Bombyx mori: one gene and its partners. The protein of the gene in region 2 interacts with the protein of the main gene of each other region in a biochemical or structural test. Links are inferred from orthologs where the notes say so. Each region holds a gene or a part of one and is shown on either strand. Other genes may lie near its edges.

Evidence for each region.
Region 1: of the proteins of Cyce (region 2) and E3 ubiquitin-protein ligase ariadne-1, one has a biochemical effect on the other in vitro, tested with the Homo sapiens proteins (3 studies listed by BioGRID). The link is inferred for Bombyx mori from reciprocal best matches to the Homo sapiens genes CCNE1 and ARIH1.
Region 3: the proteins of Cyce (region 2) and S-phase kinase-associated protein 2 form a complex in vitro, tested with the Homo sapiens proteins (2 studies listed by BioGRID, with this or other methods). The link is inferred for Bombyx mori from reciprocal best matches to the Homo sapiens genes CCNE1 and SKP2.

What each region holds. Positions count from the first base shown.
Region 1 is NC_085127.1:9,590,995-9,595,969, reverse strand, and holds the start of E3 ubiquitin-protein ligase ariadne-1, read left to right. Parts: upstream 1-1,869; 5' UTR 1,870-2,044; coding exon 2,045-2,251; intron 2,252-4,170; coding exon 4,171-4,323; intron 4,324-4,975. UniProt on the Homo sapiens protein: E3 ubiquitin-protein ligase, which catalyzes ubiquitination of target proteins together with ubiquitin-conjugating enzyme E2 UBE2L3.
Region 2 is NC_085111.1:1,944,849-1,949,961, reverse strand, and holds the start of Cyce (cyclin E), read left to right. Parts: upstream 1-1,624; 5' UTR 1,625-1,904; intron 1,905-2,678; 5' UTR 2,679-2,718; coding exon 2,719-2,732; intron 2,733-2,820; coding exon 2,821-2,887; intron 2,888-2,960; coding exon 2,961-3,244; intron 3,245-3,458; coding exon 3,459-3,660; intron 3,661-5,113. Other genes in the region: protein pigeon, read right to left, coding at 150-575, 914-974. UniProt on the Homo sapiens protein: Essential for the control of the cell cycle at the G1/S (start) transition.
Region 3 is NC_085117.1:568,354-573,373, reverse strand, and holds the start of S-phase kinase-associated protein 2, read left to right. Parts: upstream 1-1,982; 5' UTR 1,983-2,093; coding exon 2,094-2,161; intron 2,162-2,321; coding exon 2,322-2,394; intron 2,395-3,729; coding exon 3,730-3,810; intron 3,811-4,264; coding exon 4,265-4,391; intron 4,392-5,020. Other genes in the region: BCL2/adenovirus E1B 19 kDa protein-interacting protein 3, read right to left, coding at 229-268. UniProt on the Homo sapiens protein: Substrate recognition component of a SCF (SKP1-CUL1-F-box protein) E3 ubiquitin-protein ligase complex which mediates the ubiquitination and subsequent proteasomal degradation of target proteins involved in cell cycle progression, signal transduction and transcription.

The DNA of each region.
Region 1 (4,975 bases), on a different chromosome or scaffold from region 2:
TATACTGAAAGCCATGAGAGTCTATATTAGCTTCACCCTAAAGTGTTGGTGAGGTCACGGGGCTCAAACCAGAGTGTTGCTAACACTGGCCCTAGCAAAAGCAGTGTTTCGCAAAATTTACCACTGGATCGGAAACACGACCCACTAAGAAGATCCAGCGAGAAACTCAGTGGGATGTGTCTATGGGTGAATTCGCTCGTCGAGCCCTTCGTCGCAAGTGACGGGTTCTATGAGGACGGTGACCGGTGCTTGTGGTGCCTAAAAGCACCGTTAAAGGATCGGGAGGATCCGTAATGACGTGTTTTGGGCGACGTCGACTGTTTACCATTCGGTCTACAGGTTAGGTATACCCGATGGTATGTAATTTCCAGCGGCTACGACAAGAGGTTTCTCATGTGCCGCCTTCTTAAAGTGGCGCAATGATGCCGGCTGTAGTTACTTACTGACTAAGCCAAGTTCCAGGTCATCATGGAGATCCACGTTCCTTAGGAACCATGGTGCTCCGACGGCTATCCTGTAAAATCGGGATTGAATAACCTGAAGGGGTTTCAAGTTAGTGCGGGCCGCGTGAGCGAACATTACGCTTGCATACGTCATGACGGGGCGTATGCAAGTTTTGTAGAGTGTCACCTTATTACGGAAGGACAATTTGTTTCGCTTGCAAAGCATAGGGTAGAGATGTCCTAATATGATGTTCACGATTGACTTCCACGGTGAAGGAATAACATCGTGTAATAAAAATCAAACCCGCAAAATTATAATTTGCGTAATCACTGGTGGTAGGACCTCCTGGGAGTCCGCACGGGTAGGTACCACCACCCCGCCTATTTCCGCCGTGAAGCAGTAATGCGTTTCGGTTCGAAGGGTGGGGTAGCCGTTGTAACTATACTGAGACCTTAGAACTTATATCTCATGGTGGGTGGCGCATTTACGTTGTAGACGTCTATGGGCTCCAGTAACCACTTAACACCAGGTGGGCTCTGAGCTCGTCCACCCATCTAAGTAATAAAAAATAAAAAAATGAAGGCGGCACGGTCGTGTACCGTTTGGATATGGGGACGGAATGTTATACCTCTGTCGAGGGTGACGCCTAGATATTTGACCTTCGAGGCCCACGGTATGGACTGGCCAAAAAGAGTGATGGGGCTAACGGTGGAGGTGTTAACGCGCCTATTAGGGAGTGGGCTGCTCGAAGTGGTATTCGGAGGGCGACCCCTTTTGAAGAGCACCGCTGTGCTTTTCGTGGGGTTGATGTCGATGCGGCACTTCCGGAACGAATAATGACTTCTTGCTACACGAGTAGTAGATAGCCGTGTCATCGGCGAAGAGCGCTAGATAGGTCTCCGGAGACCGGGCTATACCTACAAACTGAGGTACGTGACGAGGGCGAGAGCACGTTCCTTCGACTCGATATCGGAACGAACGGTTCGATAAGAAGTCTCGTATAATGGGTTGAGTTCCACTTTAACTTTGTCATCATGTGTCGACATCAATGCGTATTAATGGTGGCTTCTTAACTGTTGAGCATCTATAAAAGTACATAATGTGAGAAAATGAAACAAAGTCGCTGGGAATGGCTTCACAGACTCGTCTAGAAAGTCCACTGAAGTATCAGAGAACAATCATTTTACTGTGCGTTTATTTTATTCCATCTCATCTCATTTCATTTCAACCCAATTGATTACAATCTTAAATAAATTAACTTCATCTCATTTCGTTCCATAATATGATTTTTCTTAAGATACAATAAGTATGTATGTAAGAGTTTAATAAATCAGGATTTTTATTATCTCGACTCTGCCAACAACAGTCATGCAAGAAGCTAATTGCCATACTAAAAAAAAGAAGAACATTATTTATCTATGATTTAAATTTTTAGATGTTAGAACACTGTCCTTACGTCAGAGGTTTTGGCAGCCCGCGGGTGAACTATTTTCTTCATTGTTGACCTTTCCTAAATCTAAGGTGTATTTATTTCATCACAATAAGATTTCTGGTTGTGCATTCACTATAAATCATACAAATTTAGTTAAAGTTTGCAACGATGGATTCGGAAGATGACACGAAAGACGATGTGGACTCGGGTAATGAGTCTAGTGGAGACGATGTCGACTTTGCAATGGACGTTGAAACTCATAGTACAAGGGAAAGACAAACTGAGCTTGAGGAGTATCCTTACGAGGTTTTGTCTACAGAGGAGATTGTCCAACATATGGTTGACTGCATTAAAGAAGTGAACACTGTCGTCGAGGTCAGTATGTTAGTTGTGAGCGTAAACAATGGACTAATTGATTGAGGTTACTCGTACAATGGTACACTTTGATAGAACCTTTTGTGTTGTGGACTAATTTAGTCGCAATTGATCTGACATGATATTTTTGACTGTAGGTATTGTTTATGGTTTGATTTTATTATTAGCAAACACAGTTTCTAAGAATTAAATCATCACAGGAAATCATTATTTGGCCTAATATAATCTTATGAGCCATAAAGCATTTTATGAAAGGTAAAAAGTCATTGGTATTTTTTAGAACATATAAAACTGTAAATTGATGACTAATAACTTTGTAATGCTGACTAATGTAATAGAACAAAAAGAGTGGTGCTTAAATAAATATTAAGCAAATACAAGTAGATTTCATATAACTAATTTTAATTCATCAAATATGTATGCAGAACAGAATAAGAAAGAATGTTATACATTCTTATTCAATGTTATACATTCTTTCTTATAATAAAAAGCTACAGTAAGATTCTAATAACAATTTCATTTGCATATATAATTAATAGTTTTCATTGTCAATTGCATTATTATGTACTATGATAATATTAAGGCCTAGAAAAGTGCTTATTGTTGATTAATATTGATTTGGAGATATTAATATGTTAACATGTACCTATGCTTTTTTGCATTAAGGAAAAAATCTGTTTAACTAAATATTCATTAAATGAACTGTAGAAATTATGGGTATGGTTTTGTGTTTGTGCTGAAGTAGTATATCATTACAATTTCAGCTTTGGAAACAACTTACTAACAATTATGAAAAAACATTACCCCAAAAGCAATAAACGTGTGGTTCCCTGCAATCTGATGTCATTATTATTCAATAGAGTGAGAGTGATCCTACAAGCACCAGACTAGGTTCTCCAGGAAGCTAGCTGTGGGGCCTGGGGACCCAGGGTCTGAAGCATAGCCACTCCCATTTGAGAAGCACATAAGTGGCTATTTGACCTATCTCCAAGCAGGCTTAGCACACATAACACAATCATGTCATGAGTGTGTGTAACATTGATTGCTCTACCTTTACTACTTGTAGTTCTCAGGTTGAGATGGAGTACTTGTTAGACTAATCTTCCATTGGACCACTTTAGCCCCTCAACAGATCTTTAAGGCAATTTAATCTGTCATTTTTTATATTAATGGATTACATAGTTCAATGATATTTTTTAACCTAAAGCGAGAGTCAGTTTTATTTAAATTTAAAATTTAAAATAGTAAAAAGCATTTTTTGAACTAGTAACAATCAATCTCTATTAAATATAAATTGCATTTCTGACAACAAAATTGAAATTAAAAAATGATAAGGCTCTCAGTAACATACTAATTATGTTTATATGAAACTAAGAAAAATGTTGATTTGTGTAAAATTTAACATTTTGCACTAAAACTATACTAATATATATCAACCTAAGTTAACAATAGCCAGTAACAAATTTTTACTAAATCTAAATAAAATACATTGATATGAAACTGCAATATTTCATTTAAAAATCTTTGAAATTGGCTCTTAATTGACTGTAACAAAAGTGAAAGTGATCATTGAGGAAATTTGTAACACTGTAAATTAACTGTAGGGACTAAACTAACTAAGTTAAGGGATCTCTTATCTTCAGTTTTTAGAAGCTTGTCTACTCATAGGACTTACAAAAAAAACTAGTGGATGTAAATAATTTGTTTGTGTTTAATAGTTTTGTTTTAGTGGTATATAATTATGTAAAAAAAGAAAGTTTATACAATTTTTTTCTTTACAATGTTAGGGAGATATGTAGCTATGAAGTCCCAACTATTTCACTCAGATAGTATATACCTGTCCTTGAAGATCCCCTGATTAAGTATTAAAAATTCTGATTTATGGTGTGTTAAAAGCATAAAAAATCCTGTCAAAACAGATTCCAGCAACAACAACAAGGATCTTACTGAATCATTTCAAATGGGACAAAGAGAAGCTTATGGAACGTTTTTATGATGGAGACCAGGATCAGTTGTTCTCTGAAGCTAGAGTTATCAATCCATTCAGGAAACCTGTCATACAAAGGCCAAAGGTAAATGTATTGCAGACTATCCTAAAAAAAGTAATTATATTACAACATGATTAAAAACATTTCATTACATTACCATATGTGTATATGCTAATGTAATCTTAATTTTTTATGCTATATTCATCAATATATGTGAATAATAGACATAATTAAATTTACTTTTGTGATGTAATCTTGCAATTTTAGAGTCATTATATTATTTCTAACATTTTAAATAGTTTACAGTTTTTGTGATGACTAACCACTAAACTGTTATTTATTCAAATTTGAATATTGTGTTGGGAGTCATTTGGAAATATTATAATGACAATAAAAGTTTCAAGTTAAACCATAAAAGTAGTTTATAATTAATTTCTTATATCATCATTATTCCATGTTTTATTTATTTCTGTAACTACAAAGACAAATTATGAAATAATCACCGTTGTTATTATGTACAGTACTGTTTAAATGTAATACTTGGATGGAATTTTTTTGTAAATGCCAATCCTTCTTTTTGTTTTGGACTGGGCCCGATCCTCTTATGAGATAACTGGCTGTTAACGTCAATCCTAACTGTAGACTTTTTTATTTACTGGTAACAGTGCGATTTACCCACTATAAGCTTTATGTGTCCATTATTATTTCTCTTTGCTCTGCAGAATACAGTGTTCAT
Region 2 (5,113 bases):
GCTGAACCAGGTTATGTTGAAATAAATAATTGACTTACAGTACAGTTTTACTGTACCAAGATATCTTAGATAGAGCTAGCTGTTAAACTTATTGACTATTAAGCAAAATATATATTTTTAATCTATTACTTATTCTTAAACAAACTCACATTCCAAATGTTTGAACAGCAGGAATCTGTCATTTCTTATACCAGGGCTGTATTTATTACTCTTCCCGTATATATATTGTACCATTATTTGTTTTGTAGAGCTATCTTCAATTTGTTCACTGACTCTTTCTTTGTCAGGAAGTAAACACATTAAATAAGCACAGTACAAAGGCTCTTTTGCCTCAGCATCATCAGTTGGAAGTTTCTTGACAACATATGCTAAAAGACTTTGTGTCGCATTCACTGAAGCTTGTATGATATTAGTTTTCTTGTCAAATGTGTGTAGAATAGTCAGAGATTTGGTTTTATTTACATATATGCCAATGTTGAGGACCTCCGCATTATTTTTTGTATTTGAAAGCCAAGTAAGAAGTTGTGAACCATCTTGTTCTTGTCCTAAAAGACGCCACTCTCGTGCTGTAATTTCTGAAAAGCATTTTTCTCGATTTACATATATTTAGAGGATGGCTGTTGCTCTAACTGCCTTTTTTTCGTAAAATCATTTATTTTTTTGTAGTTAATAGTTTCATTTATATATAAATAAAATAATATTGTCTGGAATTACAGCATTAGAACTACATATAGTGAATTTGAAAATATTATTAATAAATGTTTAAATTTATTTGACCAATTAACACAAGTAAATGAGTATGTAAGTAATTAGAAACCATTTTAAGGCCAGCCAACCTGCAGTCGACAATATTTTTAACTAAAGCGTCAGGCCCGATTGAGATAGCAATCCATAACGCAAAGCTTCAACATACCCTCCTCACTTGCTGCCTGAAGTATTCCACACAATTTCACCGCAATATTTTGAACAGCCATTTTAAAATAGTTTTTTTCAATTTCACCTGTTACATTTACAAATAATAACAACAGTTCATCATATCGCCACGTTATCAATTGAATCAACGCACCTTTATTGACTTTTCTCGCTCATTTTCCATCAGCTGGCGCCCAGCTGTTAATGTGGTCTGAAGTTAGGATTATGCTTTTTGCCAACAAAAAGAAAATAATTTTAATACGACTTTGTTGGTATTCCTGTATCACTACAGACACAAACTGTCCAATCAAAAAGAAGCGTTGATTTTGGATCTACATTTCGTTTCACTCGAAAAAAATTAGATGAAGAATTAACAATAAAGATTTTTAACCTTGATTCATTCCACGGAAAATCTGAAATTGAAAAAAGGTTCTGCAGTGCAAACAAGCTTTTAAAAAAATCTATTTAGTCTTTCCTTTTGTCTATTTAAAAAATCTAAAAATTAATATTTTTAAATATTAAAAGTGTTCGCGAAATGAATGAGTTTTCAATAATTTTCAAACCAATTAAGACCGTAGAAAATATGTGAACTAAAAATGAATCAAACCTTTTCTTTATTTCGAATTAGTCTTGGAACGGAAATACACAAAAATGTTATGCGTGCAACGAAACGTGTTATTTCAGTGACGTACATTTTCAGAAGAAACAATCATGAAGCTAGCCAATGTTAACCCCGTTGGGCTCCTAAGTTTTACCGCGACATTTTCGCGCGGAAGCCGGGCGTTATCGAGCCGTGAAAACCTGAAAAGTGCTATGTGTAAGCAGAAAATCATCTGATCTGTAACCTTTTTACCTACATTTGGCTAACTTACGACCACGGACGTGAATGTTTCGGAATAAACTAAACTAATAGTGTCATAAATTGACATTCCATATCTGGTGCATGAAGAAATTTAGTTTTGTGTAAATTAAATCAATTTGTGAATGATCAGGTATGTACTGAGTTATTTTTTAGCAACCCAAGTATATAAGGAATCGAATTAAGATACGGTATCTATTGTAATTTTTAGACTTTCTTTACAAATTAGGTTATAAACTACTGTGGGCGATAAGCCAAGCCAATTAGATTGTCAACTATTAGGCTCCCTAAATTGCCTCAAATTCGGTTTTTAAAGTAGTATTTTAGACGAATTTTAATAACAAGATAATACAGTGTCACGTTTAAGCTATTTTTATCAATTTCCTTATGTGGATTGGGCGAGAAACCCAAGCTTGCGACGTGTCTAATGGCGCTGACGGAATGATTTCGCGCGCGAATATGACGGTTTCGTGGCATTTTTTGGAGCAGCTGATCGATTTATTTTTACTTTTCTTTAATATGAAATGATACATTAGCCTTTCTGCTGACTATATAACATAAAAATACACACATAATAATGTTAAATCCACGAGATATTGTCCTCTAAAAAAAATTCTCCCGCCAACCAGCAGGGGGCACGCTGCAGAAACACACACTCATTTCTCATACAATATGCATTAATATGCCTTTATTTGCATCTTTGGAAGTATCCTGAAGGATCCCTGATAAATAAGATAATTTATTAAGTACGATAATTTGCTAATTATGGCCTCAATACGGTTGTCAAGTGACATAACCCTATTTGCAACTTGAACATGACATGCGGTAATTTTAGACAGTATAATTCTAATTTGGACCTTCGAATGTAAGATGTCGATCTGGATATTGAAACTTTGTTTTATTTCAGGCTGAAAAAATAGTACTACATCCCAACTGTCTCTTCCAATATGGCTGAATCTGGGTATGTACTTACTCCATTCTTTAATCACATAGAAATAGCTAGCTTAAAGTTTGAGTGCATATTGACTGTTGTTGACCCTATTTTACAGGTCTCCCTCTGAAGCCAGTGAAAAGCGCATGACCTTAAAACGTAAAAGAAGCTCTTCTGATGATGAGGTGTGTACATTTTCAACACAATAAATGCTTTTCAGTTGAACCTATACTTATATTTACATGTTTACTCTTTTAGTTAGAAAACCAGCCTCCACAGAAGATAGCCTCAACCCTTGATGAACAATTATGTGATCAACCAGCGCTTCATGTTGTGGTAGAATCATCATCATGCTCAAGCGATGATGAAGGCTCTCAATATGGGAACAGTGATCAACCAAGGAGTGTTTATACAGACATTGATTACAACCCTGACAGCTTTCTGAGCCCACCTAGTGTTTCTGATCTGCCCAACAGCGTACTGAGCCCCTTAGAAAATGTGGCCAGAGGCGAGTCCACCCCACACTCTAATAAAAGGGCTAAGTGAGTAGTTTTTCTGATCTGAATTATTTTTGAACTATCTTAATAATATCAAGGCCCCAAACATTATCTTGTGATGACTAAGCTCTTATATTATTTGCCTATAAACAAAAGAAAAAAGTTTATCACTGTGGGATTTGCCAAATACACATCATCTGTCAGTTTCTGAATTTGCATTGTAACTAAACAAAACTTTTACTTAGTTGAACTGTTTCAGTGCTAGTAAGCCTCCATGCCCTACACCTCCAAAACGCAAATGTCCCTTGCCTGGATTGTCTTGGGCTGATCCTGCTGATGTCTGGAACAGCATGTGCGAGTGTGATGCCAGGTCCAGCAAGAAGAAGAACCCTAACATGTTTGACAATCATCCTAATCTTCAGCCCCGGATGAGAGCTATTTTACTGGACTGGCTAAATGAGGTAAGTCAACATAATATGATATAAAGGGTGAGGGGCTTTGTTTACGAATATTAATGGATAATTTATGGATCAGGATTTACCAAGTCTGGCTGTCAGATATCCATTTGTTAAGTAGAAATGTAATTTGGCAATGAATATTATATAAAAATAGGAGTGATAATACAGAAAATAAAATCTTCCAATTTTAACCTTACATAACTACATATGTCTAGATGAAACTCGTGCATTAAAAAAAAGTTGTCTTGCACTCATAATGTTGACAGGCAAGCTACTGCAGTGTTTTTTAGGAAATAGGTATTCAAAAAAAAAATTGAAATTAGAACCTCTTCTTTATTTTATTTATTGTAAAATGTTTCATGCTGCCCCATAGTGGTTTTTGACATAAAAAGGTAAGTCATAATGTTACAGTTTTTTATTTACAATTGGTATATATGGAAAGTGATGTAATATAAGGTCAATGACCCGTTTTTTGCTGTGTTCATTGAACTTTAAGCCAATGCGATTTCAATATGGTTCAGTTAACCATGTTTCAGTTGTTTTTTTTTTATATATTTAAGTGCAAATTACAAGTTTATAACCTCACACATTTTTAGGTTTTATGCTACGACTATAGGCGTAAATGTGACGTCATAAATAGAATGTTTGTAGTTGACATTTCGAATTGTCTAGAATAAGTCGCCCTGCACCATTGCGATAGCCGACAACATTGAATCAGAAAGAAAAAAATCTCGTTCCAAAAATAGAAACTTGCCCTCTCCTGGCTCACGCCATTGCTCTAATTATTAACTCTTAGTGATTTTGTTTAAAAATTAACTAACTATTCTAAATCGCCTTATTTAATAGTATATACGATTGACAGCTATGTGATTATATACTAATAATATAATATATTTTGAAAGGAAGGACGCGTAGTACACGTCTCTTGTTGAAACTTCCGCATTAATCGTTCGAAATGCACGTCATTCTTTTAAGAACTTTTGATCAGGAAAGCGGTGGTATCATTTGGAAATAAAGAGGAAATAAAAAAACTGAAATCAGAATCGGAACCCCGAAGTCGAAGTCGTCGTGGCCTAACGGATAAGACGTCCGGTGCATTCGTGTTGAGCGATGCACCGGTGTTCGAATCTCAAGCGGGTACCAATTTTTGTAATGAAATACGTACTCAACAAATGTTCACGATTGACTTCCACGGTGAAGGAATAACATCGTGTATAAATTATAATTTGCGTAATTACTGGTGGTAGGACCTCTTGTGAGTCCGCGCGGGTGGGTGCCGCCACCCTGTCTGTTTCTGCTGTTTCTGCCGTGAAGCAATAATACGTTTCGGTTTGAAGGATAGGGCAACCGTAGTAACTATACTTGAGACCTTAGAACTTATATCTCAAGGTGGGTGGCGCATTTACGTCGTAGATGTCTATGGGTTCCAGTAACCACTTAACACCAGGTAGGCTGT
Region 3 (5,020 bases), on a different chromosome or scaffold from region 2:
GAATCACGTACGCAGATTGTGACGCACTATCGCGTGTTTTCGATTTTGCTGACCTCGACAGTTCAACAGGCTATATGACGCCATTTCGCGAAATCAAAACAACAGCTGTTAGAAAAAAAAACAAAAGCAAACTCCCAAAAATTGCGTTTTATGTAATAAATGAGACGTAAAAGAAACCTGTTTGTAAAGTTGGACGCCACATACTCAATGTTTATTTACAACACTCACCGCTCAAGTCTTCGATTGTGTTCAGTTTTCTCGACGCCATCGCGCGGAAATAAGTCGTGGTACTAGAAAATTACTTATAAACGTATTTTTAATAATATACGCTGTGTTCAACCGGGCTTCTTCGCTTTTAAAATGCGAAAACAAAGAAAGAACGGACTGAATCAACACCGAATGCAACCTTCTTTGTTTGTGTTTTGTGTTGTTTTGATTGGAACTGACAGTTGTGGATAGTGTGGCATAATCAGTTCAGATACGATATGCGATATGATTAAATTTGTTAATCGATTAAAGTTCGATTTCAGACGCCTTAACAGATTTTATTTCAAAATTGTGCAATTTAAAAAAATGTTGTTTTTCGAATGATTTCATTTTCATTTGTATATAATATGTTGAACCTAATAAATTTAATGTCTTCGATTTTTTCAGTATTATCGATTATTATTTTTCCTATCTATTCCAGTAACCTGGAGGGGTCATACCATATTCATCTGGCGAGTTAGGTGAGCTCGCGGTGCTTTAACCTGGCGAATTTGCTAACACTAGCCCTAGCAAGAGCAGTGCTTCACAAAATCTACCACTGGATCGGAAACGCGATCCACTGAGAACTGAGAGAATAATTGGCGGTAGGACCTCTTGTGAGTCCGTGTGAGTAGGTACCGCCACCCTGCCTATTTCTGCCTTAAAGCAGTACTGCGTTTTGGTTTAAAGGGTGGGGCAGCTGCTGTAACTGTAACATACTTGAGACTTTAGAACTTATATCTCAAGGTGGGTGGCGCATTTACGTTGTAGATGTCTATGGGCTCCAGTAACCACTTAACACCAGGTGGGCTGTGAGCTCGTCCCCCCATCTAAGCTATCTCAAGGTGGGTGGCGCATTTACGTTGTAGATGTCTATGGGCTCCAGTAACCACTTAACACCAGGTGGGCTGTGAGCTCGTCCCCCATCTAAGCAATAAAAAAAAAAGTTGGCGTGAAACTCAGTGCGCTGGAATTTTGATCTTAAAGTTGTAAAAACAGGAGGTAAATCATGATAAGATAAATTTTTTTTTCATTTATCCTTACACTTCTATATTTACAAAATGAAATAAATAACTTTTAATCCAGAAGTGAAACCTACCCAGAAATAGTTTCCAAGTTAATCTTATTGTTTTATTGTTTTGTTTTACTATCTACCGTGTTTAGTCTAATAAAAACGGGGACAATGTAATAAATAAAAATACCGAAGAATTCCTTATTTAATGTGCTCTGAACTTTAAGCGCTTACAGCTGTCGATCAAGGCTGGTTTGAATGGTTACTTCGAGATAGAACAGCAGAGAGCGAGAGCGCGTATCCGTTTCTCGTAATGAATTAAGTCATAGTGTAACTATGTGTCATTGGTGACCTTAATCTTTAAGGATAATTAGATTTTGTCATCAACAAAGTATAAATATGTTAAGTCAATCGAGAAATTTTATGCCTTGATTCAAGAAAAAAAATCGCGTGGTAGCTGCGATGGTGTGAAAAAATATCAAATAATAGTAATAATTAAAGACAAGTTAAATATATAAATAAATAGAGAGAAATTGTATAATATAAATAATTCATAATAATAATAAATAATTTAAAAAAATCTGTTTTTCGGCAAGCTTAATAATCAATCTGAGTGGCAATCATGAGCAAAGAAGTCCTCGATTTAGTAATAGCAAGTGTGACATTAATGCCCAATGTCAATGTCAGTTTGTACGTTTAAAAAATTTGTCATATTTGTCTATAGCTGAATTCCTTTTTTTTTAGTTTAATTTTGACTTCAAAGTGCTATCTGTTGCGTGTGCCAAATTTTTTATCTAGCTATATTTGGAAATTTATAATACAAAATTAAGTGAAAATGAACATTAGTGGTCTGGAAGATGAAGTTAATTCACCCGTTAAACCAGACGATGCAGAAAGTCCTAGGTGAGACTTGAATTTTTAGCAAAAATCGTCATGGAATTCAATCTGACATGACAGCTGATTTTCAGCGGTAAAGTTGAATGGCGCGAAATAATCACGCCCTAATTATTATTTTTACACTACTATATTTACGGTTATTCAAAGAGTTGGAATATTATTTCAGCAAGAAAAAACTTAGAATAAGTAATTCGACGCGGAAAAGTTGGAGTTTGATGGACAAACGAACGAATTACGAGGTATGTAGTAATTTTTTCCCGCCCTCTTCCGTTCTAGTTAAAAACTTTTTATTTGATATCAATCGTGTTTTAACTATCATTCGAGTTTCTCACAGCTCCTAAATCCAATATTAATATACATATCGAGTTTGGGACGCGTAATTTTATAGTTTTGCCACAAAACACGCAAATGAACTGAGATCGAAATATGTATACATGCTCCCATTTTCATGTATAGATTTTATGGGTTCTCCGGCGTGTAGTGAGCAATGGTTGATACTGCCACCCTGCGAGGTCCCATATAAGCAGTCGGGTGACCATTATTCACAAACAAATAAGACTGTATGAATATATGCTCATACAGCAACATTACAAACAGATTCTGGACCATTTCTCAGTTATGCAAATTTTGTTTAAGTCATCACTATTATAAGTAATGCTTTCAAATAATATTATGTATTTTTATATGTTATGCACATATTTACTAGTGATAGGAGGACATATTGTGAGCCTGTACTGGTAGGTAACATGCCCCTGCCTATTTCTGATGTGAAGCAGCAATGCACTTGGTTTTTAAGGGTGGGGCAGCCATAGAACTGAAACTTAGAGCTTACTCTCATGGTAGGTGGTGGCATTGACATTGTTGATTTATAGACATCAATAACCCATAGGGTTCTGGGAAGCACTTAACACAAGGTAGGCCCTGATTTGATTCACCTATCAAAGCAAGAAAAGCTTTAAAAAAGACAAGGAACGGGACAAGCTATGTTTCTAGTAATTTTTTCTCAATTACTAAATTTCTATTTGTATTTAGAGGTACTAGATTAATACATGAGTGGTCCAAACACACATTCAAGCATAGACATTGAAAAATATAAGGTTAAATGTAGTTTAAAGAAACATTTGAGAATTGTCTTTTATAATCCTGTACCATATTAAATCATAAAAAGCCTATAGGCTTTCATTGAAGAAGATCTGATTTACGGGCATCCTATGTTATTCTACACAACAAAAGGAATATGTTTGATTAAAATTCGATCAACATAGATTAAGATATCAATTTTGATTTGCATCAGACTAGCTGAGCATAGATCATCAAAGTGCTCTATGGGATACTAGGTTTCTTCAAAGGGTTTTGGAGATATGATATAACTTTGTTTTTCTGTACTGAAATACAAAGGTTTGATTAATCTTAGAAATACATATTTTTCAATTCTTATAATGTTTGCATAGTAATAATTACATATTAGAACTAATTGTTTAATACTAATGTTTAATCCATAGATAGAATAATGTCTCATGTTAAAGGGAACTGTATGATTTTGGGAATAAATAAAGTTTAAACTTTATTTTTAGGTATTACAAGAAATGGGGGTTAGTTTGCTTGAGCCTGATGATAATGAACAATCCTGTGAACTGAGTTCGAGCAGTGGAGGGGTGAGTTTTATGTTTTTGTATCGCTGTCTGTGTTTGGCGACACAACCCTTGTGGTAAGTGCTTTGTTTGCTAATGGAAGTCCTGCACAGCCAAGTTACAATGAGGAGCAGGTCTAATTTTAAAACTCCCGGTAACAGTAGGCTCGTTTAACCATTACCATTTTACTGGTGGTAGGACCTCTTGTGAGTCCGCGCGGGTGGGTACCACCGCCCTGCCTATTTCTGCCGTGAAGCAGTAATGCGTTTCGGTTTGAAGGGTGGGGCAGCTGTTGTAACTATACTTGAGACCTTAGAACTTGTATCTCAAGGTGGGTGGCACATTTACGTTGTAGATGTCTATGGGCTCCAGTAACCACTTAACACCAGGTGGGCTGTGAGCTCGTCCACCCATCTAAGCAATAAAAAAAGATAAAAAATTGAGATAATGGAAATTCAACAGTTTATTTTGATTCCAGCACCACCACAAAGGCACAAAACGAAAACGGGACATAGAAAACGTGAATCCAAATACGAATTCATGTTCTCCGATCACAAAACGAAGCCCGGGACCTTCCAAGGCGAAGAGCCCTCGCGTTCACACCGGTAAGTCTTCCATAAAGTCTCGCTGCTCATCAAAATAACACTTTGATAAGTTTAATATCGGTTTGTGCAGAAACTATGTCCTCAAATATTTGCCAGGGGTGGTTGCTGGTTTGTTAAATATGAATGCTTCAAAACAACAATCATTCATGCTTACTTTGGTAAATTAATATTATTTTAGGCTATTTGGGTTTCATCCATAAGTTAATTGTCTATCTTTGTGTTTTTATTTTTATTTTTTTTTATTGCTTAAATGGGTGGACTAGCTCACAGCCCACCTGGTATTAAGTGGTTAATGGAGCCCATAGACATCTACGACGTAAATGCGCCACCCACCTTGAGATATCAATTCTATGGTCTCAGTATAGTTACAACGGCTGTCCCGCCCTTCAAACCGGAACGCATTACTGCTTCACGGCAGAAATAGGCAGGGTGGTGATACCTATCCGCGTGGACTCACAAGAGGCCCTATCACTAGTAATTACGCAAATTGTAATTTTGCTGGTTTGATTTTTATTACACGATGTTATTCCTTCACCGTGGAAGTCAATCGTGAACATTTGTCCAGTACGTATTTCATTACAACAATTGGTACCCTCCTGCGGGATTCGAACACCGATGCATCGTTCAAC